Linked DNA regions of Rattus norvegicus. The protein of the gene in region 2 interacts with the protein of the main gene of each other region in a pairwise test. Links are inferred from orthologs where the notes say so. Each region holds a gene or a part of one and is shown on either strand. Other genes may lie near its edges.

Region 1 (3,516 bases), on a different chromosome or scaffold from region 2:
CCAGACCCGGTTTACTCTTCTGTTAGTAAAGATTTACCTTCTGAATCCTCCCTCATGCACAAAGCTATTTCAGGTGGTCTGAATGAGCTGATTTCCACACAGCTCCCAACCATTAAGCTTTCACCACAGACCTTCAAGTTATCCAAAATATTTTGCACTCACTCATGTTCTAGACCAGATATAATCAGCTGCTACAATGTGGCAGAAATACATTCAAACTCAGCTCACTCCAGTGTACTGGAGCCCAGAGTCCATGAGGCGGGGAGCAGGAGAGGCTGCAAAGACAAGCTGAAGCCCCACCACGGTCTAGAAAGACAGTCTGAGAGTTCAAACTCTGCCAGCCATTGAAGGAAAACTAGAAAAGCCTTTGCTTTAGAAAATATAAGCAGGGCGGGAAGCTGGCAAATGACTTTGGAAACTAATACAGTTATAATGTAAGTGACAAAAGAGGCCCCACTAAGGTACTGCCAATGAGAATAAAGGTTTATACTCTCAGAAGGTGAAATCCACATCATCCCATAACTATTGAGACTTGAAAAGAGAGACAAAAATCCAACCGGGTGCAGCTTGCTTAGCATGTGGAAGACCCAGAGTTCAATACACAGCACTTCAAATTAAATAGATTGGGGGTGAGAGGAGTCAGAGACAGGAAGAGACACAGAGACAGAACAGATCATCTAAGGTAGATACCATTTTGGCAGAGAGAATTGTTTCAGTTAGAATCTGAGAAAATGGTGAGGTGCGGGGCGTCAAGGAGAGAACGAGAGTTGGAGGAAGAGAATAAATTCTGTTTTCTTAGGACATGGTGGAATTCATAACCCTAGAACATATCTCAGATAGTGAATGTCATGAGATCTTCAGAAAATAAAATGAGTCTATACATGTTGGGTTAGGTATTGAGGGACCATTCCATCAGACACAGCAGGAACCAAAGGTACCCATTAGCACCCAGACAGTCCCATGACATCCCTCAAACCATCTCACTTCCAAAATAACAAATCTTGGTGTGAAATAAAGCATAGTTTGGTGAGAAGGTGTTGTTGTTGTTGTTGGTGGTGGTGGTGTTGTTGTTGTTGGTGTTGTTACTGAGACAGTCTTGATTCAAGGAAGGCCTTGAACTTTTTCTTCTTTATTTTTCTTTAATGTGCATGTATGTATGTATGTATGTATGTATGTATGTATGTATGTATGTATGTATTTTGCCTGCCTGAGCACCTGATACATGCAATGCCTGCAGAAGCCAGAAGAGAGAACTTAATTCCCTAGACCTGAGTTACACACAGGTGTGAGTTGCTGTGTGGGTGCTGGGAATCAAACCCAGGTCCTCTGAAAAAATAACCCATGCTGTTCACCACTGAAGCCATCTCTACAACCCCAAGACATTGAACTCTTGATTCTTCTACCCCAGCACTAGGATTAAAGAATGAGCTACTATGCCAGAGGGAAATACTTACGTTTGATGACTGACAGTGAACACCACTGAACTTTCTTCCAGCGACTACAGACTAGCCACAAATTGACTCTCTTCACCAACTCTGCTAAGTGATCAGGATCAGACTTCATAATCTGATCAAATTCTGCAAACTAAGAGTAAGATAACTTAGCATCAGCATTAAAGGGTAAATGTGCTCAAGTAGAGAGGAAATAACTACATGGATTTCAAATTCCAAATATAACTTCCTGAAAATGATTAAAATTCAACTCCAAGGATATCTTAGCAGGGTATACAGAACACATTTGGCCACTTGTCATGGCCCTTTCCTTCTGCCTTTCCTTCATCGATTTATTGGAAGGTAGGAAGGAATACTTATTTATCCCTAAGTAGCAGCAAAAATAGGTATAAGAAAAACTCTTAAATGACTGATTATGGAAAATTTGGCAGAAATATTTGAGGGAAAATGTTAAATGGGGCCAACACGTCTGAACCAGTTCAACCACATTCTCAGACATCCACATTGCTCAACAAGTAAAGGTCATTGAAAGCAGGGGAGCCACCAAAAGTCCTGTCTCTCCCAACTCTAATTTTAGACAAAAAAAATAGGAAATTACTGCTAGGAGACAGACCACGCAAATACAATACTTTTTCTATTTACCACAAAATTCCAGAATTATTTCCATTCTTCACCAAATATCACACTGCAGTGTTAAAGGTGTCATATGCCAATTAACAAAACAAGTGTTTAATCATAAAAACCGTAAGAGTAGCATAACAAGACTATGAATCTCTGAATCTGCTTGCTTTAAGCTTTCAACAACCTTCTGCATCTTTCTGGAGGAAAATAATCCAGGTTCTTTCTCTATCCATTAATTAGTTACTATAGCTCTGACACAAGAGAGATGTTGAATTTATGATAAATAACACAAAGTAATGTGAAGCCAGCCATGAACACCTATATTTTTTTCTCTTCATTTTTCACAGGAAATGGTACAAGTTCTGTGACAAAGACACCACAGACTAGCAATAAAATTGCATATTTTCATCCTGTGCTAAAAAATGTGAAATTAGATTTATTGTAACTATTTTGTTCTTGAGACACTAGAGAGAGTTGACCAGTGGAACTAGTGAGCTGCAATAACAACTATCTTTACAATTGTAACTATGTAATCAGTAAGTCAGTGTCTCAAGTGTTAGGAATATGGACGTGGTATTCTTAACATTTGTGGACAGCCCTAGGTGTTTGTGTACTGAATACAGTTAGCTCTGACATGCTCTGCAGTCAGTGAGTATCACAACTGCAGTACTATGTCAGCTTAAAAGCAACCTAACGCATGCAGTGTTTACACATTCCCTTACTGTGAAACTTGTCAATAGTCAGTACAAATCCAATCGAGTTTCATATGCTTTATGTATCTATCATACTCCAGTGAAACTTTCTCACAAGGAAAACTCCAACATGCTATGAAACTCACCAAGCGAGCTGGCACATGCTTACAGCATTGAGGAGTCTGGGCCAACTCAGATGGAGAATTCTGTGACAGCTTGGGTTACATGCTGAGCTATCTAACTGGCACATTATTAAAATATTATAGAAATAGTTTCAACTTATTTAAAATGTTAGAAAGTTTTGGTTAGTCCTTATTTAAGAAAAAAATTAACAATCCTCTGATTCCAATACTGAGTAAAACTATAATTTAAACTCATACGAAACAACCCCGAACAGGAAACCTGTGTGAACAGAAACATAATCTCATGCTGTTTCATATAATGCTGTAGTGATATAAATCGCCAATAACTAAGGAAATACATATGAAGCCCAACTGTCATATATATTTACCTTGCCAGGTCTGAAAAATACTTTTGTCAGCCCAAACTTGTAGTCAACTTCATTTAATCCCAAAGCTTTAAAAAGAGCCTGAAAAACAAGTTTTAAAAGTTGAGTTTAACAGAAAAGATTTGTTGGTGAGAAATTTCTATTGAAGTGGCATTTATACCTTACAAAATAGCCGTGGATCCAATCGTGCGAGTTTTTCTGGCATGTACTTCTTGTACATGTTATAGAGTTCATGAAATGAGGC
Region 2 (4,030 bases):
GGAGGCTGTCTTAGGTACTATTGCTGAAACAAAACACCATGGCCAAAAAGCAAGTTGGGGAGGAAAGGGTTTCTTCGACTTACACTTCCACAGTGCTCTGTTCATCACTGAAGAAAGTCAGGGCAGGAACTCACACAGAGCAGGATCCCCAGGACAAGGGCTGATGCAGAGGCCATGGAGGGTGCTGCTTACTGGCCTGCTTCCCCTGGCTTGCTCAGCTTTCTTATACAGCTCAGGAATGGCACCAACTGATCACTAATTAAGAAAATGCCTTAGAGCTGGATCTCATGGAAGCATTTCCTCCACTGAGGCTCCTTCCTCTTTGGCGACTCTGTTGAGTTGACACAAAACCAGCCCACAAAGGGGGCCTACCCTTATTTGGGAAGGCTAGTCTTGCTTTGTACAGGTCTCTAGATCATCAGACACCCCAGCTATGTTTTCACTGCACAGCTGCTCTTTTATCTAACATATATATCCAGTGGGCTCAATAAATACCATTAACAAGAAAGTTTCTTTACCCTTGATCCAAAAAAAAAAAAATCTATCTCCATGGTTGAACGCTGGGCATGTGTGAGACCCTGTGTTCGATCCATAGTACAGGAAAGGCAGAGGGGAAGAGAGAGGAGAGAAAGGGAGTGGGAGAGGGAGGGGGGAGAAATCTCTCCCAGTTGTAATATCCATAAGCTGTTTGGACAATGAAACAATTCCACACATCTATGTTTGACATTTAATAATACATCATTTATACAGTCTATACAGCTCCCTCTAAGGACCAAAACAGGAAAGAAAAATGTGCAAAAGTGGATACAAATCACCTGGCCTTCCCGTGTGTCAAAACCTTATGTCAAGAACTCGTGGGTTTATGTTTTTCAGGTTGCTCAGAATGCATAAAAACTGATAGGCACAAGAACTTCTGGAAGTTTCTGGAGTCCCCAGGTCACACGCACTCTACCCACTGCTACTCTGGAGTTAATTTTCCATTTAAATGTCAATACCCTTACATAGCAACATCACCTCCTTTCTGTATAATCTTTCCCAGCTTCCCTGGTATTTTCTGCCAGGCTATCTGGGCTGACTATCGACTTCTGCCGACATCCAGTTATCTTATCCATTGACTCAGAACACTGAAGTCACCAAAAAAGACTTGATTCCAAGGGGATAGCACAAAGACGGTGCTACATTAGATAGTGTAACCACACCACCTAATGCTCAACTGAATGGTACTCAATGGCATATACCCTGTATATGTATATGTGTAGTTCTGGAAGCCATCACCCTCTATCATTGTAGATTTGTTTGAAACACCCATATTGACTGGAGACAGTTCTACACTTAAACCTTGGCCTCAGGGGCATTCCACAGACAGTTGAGAGCTGAAGTGAACTGGGAGGTAGGGGTGCAATCACAAGACAAGGTGAATCCAAGACCTGGGTTTGCATCTAACTACAACTTGGCTGTGTCACCTTGAGTATATCTTTTGATCACCAGGGTTCCAGCATCCTCAATGCAAAAGATGAAGAAATTGGACTAAATCATCTATACGGTTTCTTCCAACCTCTAAAGTTCTTTGAAATGTCAATACCTCCCCCACCACTGAATTTTTAATCCTTAAAATTTCTGGGATGGTTTCTTTGGCTGAAGTTTTATTTATAAACTCCAGATCACAACTACATGCAGAAAATATAGAAGGGCTGAGGGCTTGAAAAGAGAATCACTCACTAATATCACTTAAATAGGCAATTCAATTACCCTCAGGCCAATCTGTCAATGGTTACTCAAAAGTTGCTACACCAGTCACTAGCTTCCCAAAACAAAGATACGCATCCTTTGCTCCTTTCTCATCCCCAGAGACTCATTTCGAAAAATAAATGAACAGACAAATAGACAAATAACCCAACAACCTCAGCATCTAAAATCAATTTACAAATTTAGAACAAGTTTCGGTGAGCCAAGGAAACTGCACAGCTTCCAGGAGTCATTGTGTTTCATTTAAGGAATGACGAGAGATAAGAAACGGTTCTTATTATAGGACGCGAGAAAAGCCACAAGAGGCAGGTGACATCTGGAAAAAAGGAAGAAGTGTCGAGAGGACAGAAGCTGGAGGGACCTTTAGGCAACAAGTTTAGAGTCCGGGAAGAGTCCCCCAGGGATGTAGGGAAACCCGTCTCTGCCACCTCGCCCCGCCGTCTTCCCCAACCCCCACCGCGTCGCCGCGCCCCCGCCCCCCCATCCCACGCCCCTGCGGCAAGAAATCTCCCTAGGATCGCTCGCACCCCGCGGCCTCCTGCCCTCCGCAGGCCTCCGATCCGTCGCAGAGGTGGCCCAACCCCGCAGGCCCGCCGACCTCGCCGCCGCCCCGCAAGACGCAGCGGCCCCGCAGCACCCGGGCTCCGCTCACCTGCACCTGTTTGCGGAAGTGGCGCGGCCCGGGCACTGCCGACGGTCAAGAGCAGAAGCAGCAGCAGCGGCATCGGCAGCGGCGATGATGCCGGTGGTCCCGGCATTTCGTCCACCGCGCGGTCCCCTGCCGGGGCCGGCTCTCGGGTTGCCGCCTTCAGTCAGTCAGCCCTCCGCGCCGCCTCAGCGACACCGGCGCCGGCTGCTTCGGGACACACGTCTCGTTAGCCAAACGTCAACCCTGTTCCCGGTCTGCATCCGCCGCTCTGGCCACAGAGCCAGCATCATCCTTCCCGCCCGTCTGCGCCGCCGCCGCCCCTCAACAGCAGCAACGGCACCCAGCCTGCGGAGCCGCGGGCCCAGGCAGCCGCGCTCCCGCCGCCATGATGGGCTGCGTCATGTGACGTAGAGCGGAGGCGGGATGCCGTGACCGACACCTGGATCAGCCAATCGTCAATCCATATTGACTCCTGAAGCCCCACCCCCTCAGCCATAGGAGGCAAGATGGATTTCGGTGCGCCCCCTGCAGACGGAGGAATGAGGCGTGGGCAGCAGGTAACACCGAGAATTATTTTAGGAAGATATAAAGAAGACCATGATAACCCACATAATTCAATCTGGGACTTTATTTTTCCTTCTTTTTATTTTTCTTTTCTTATTTTTACCAACATGGTTCTCGATATTTTATCCCTGGTTTTACCTTCTTCATTTTTACTTCTCAGAACTTCCTTAGCCTCTTCACCTTAGGTTTACCCTCAGATCAGCTTCTGAGGAACTTTGAACTTTTTAAATTTTCAATTGATCAAGCACAGAGTGTTAATGACTTCACTCGCTGACGTAGCAGTGAGCTCAAACTGGCCCTTCTGCCAAGACAGCCCTTCCTGCCCCCTCTTGTTCACCTGGCAGACGCTCTTCTTTTCGTTCATCAAGACACACCTGGAATATGACTTCATCGATGGCTTCTACCCAATCCCACAAATAAATAAGCATCTACGACTCCACCCCAGCCCATGTTTTATTGCTCCTGTGACTGTAAACCAGTTGAGGACAGCAACCCTGTCTGAGTCACCTTGGATCTCCTGCTGGGCTTATCGTGAAATAGGTGTCCTCTATAGGACCTGGGCTGGGTGTTGGTGGTGAGTGTGAGGAGGGAGAGGCTTCCAGGTGGGGTAGAAGATGTTTCAAACACAATGGAGAAGGCTGAGGAGATTGCTTGCCTTGTAAGCATGAGGACCTGGATTCGATCCCCAGAACCCCACATAAAGAAAAAAACGCTTGCTGAGGGGACAGAAAAAGATGGGTCCTTAGGGTTTGCTGACAAGCTAGACAAACTTGCTAGGCAAGTTTCAGGCAAATAAGAGACCCTGCCTCCAAAAAAAAAAAAAAAAAAAAAAAGTGGACCCTGACCCTGAGGAAAAAATTCTTCTGGCTTTTCTGGCCTACAAACACACACCCAGGAGTGGGGGTGGAGAAAATGCACACACATGTACAAATCACATGCCGCAAACACAACACACGCATCCATGCACACACAAAAGAAACAAGAGAAAGTGCTTGACAGTTAACACAGCTCCGAAGCTACCTTTGCTGACTCTGGTAGTCCAATCCGTGAATGAAAACAACTGAGGGACTG

The links. The genes of interacting proteins can lie anywhere in the genome.
Region 1: the proteins of Lmtk2 (region 2) and Myo6 interact in a two-hybrid assay, tested with the Homo sapiens proteins (2 studies listed by BioGRID). The link is inferred for Rattus norvegicus from reciprocal best matches to the Homo sapiens genes LMTK2 and MYO6.

Annotation. Positions count from the first base shown.
Region 1 is NC_086026.1:90,089,382-90,092,897, reverse strand, and holds part of Myo6 (myosin VI), read right to left. Parts: coding exon 3,433-3,516; intron 3,354-3,432; coding exon 3,276-3,353; intron 1,585-3,275; coding exon 1,455-1,584; intron 1-1,454. UniProt on the Homo sapiens protein: Myosins are actin-based motor molecules with ATPase activity. Unconventional myosins serve in intracellular movements. Myosin 6 is a reverse-direction motor protein that moves towards the minus-end of actin filaments.
Region 2 is NC_086030.1:15,619,591-15,623,620, forward strand, and holds the start of Lmtk2 (serine/threonine-protein kinase LMTK2 precursor), read right to left. Parts: upstream 2,803-4,030; 5' UTR 2,505-2,802; coding exon 2,399-2,504; intron 1-2,398. UniProt on the Homo sapiens protein: Phosphorylates PPP1C, phosphorylase b and CFTR.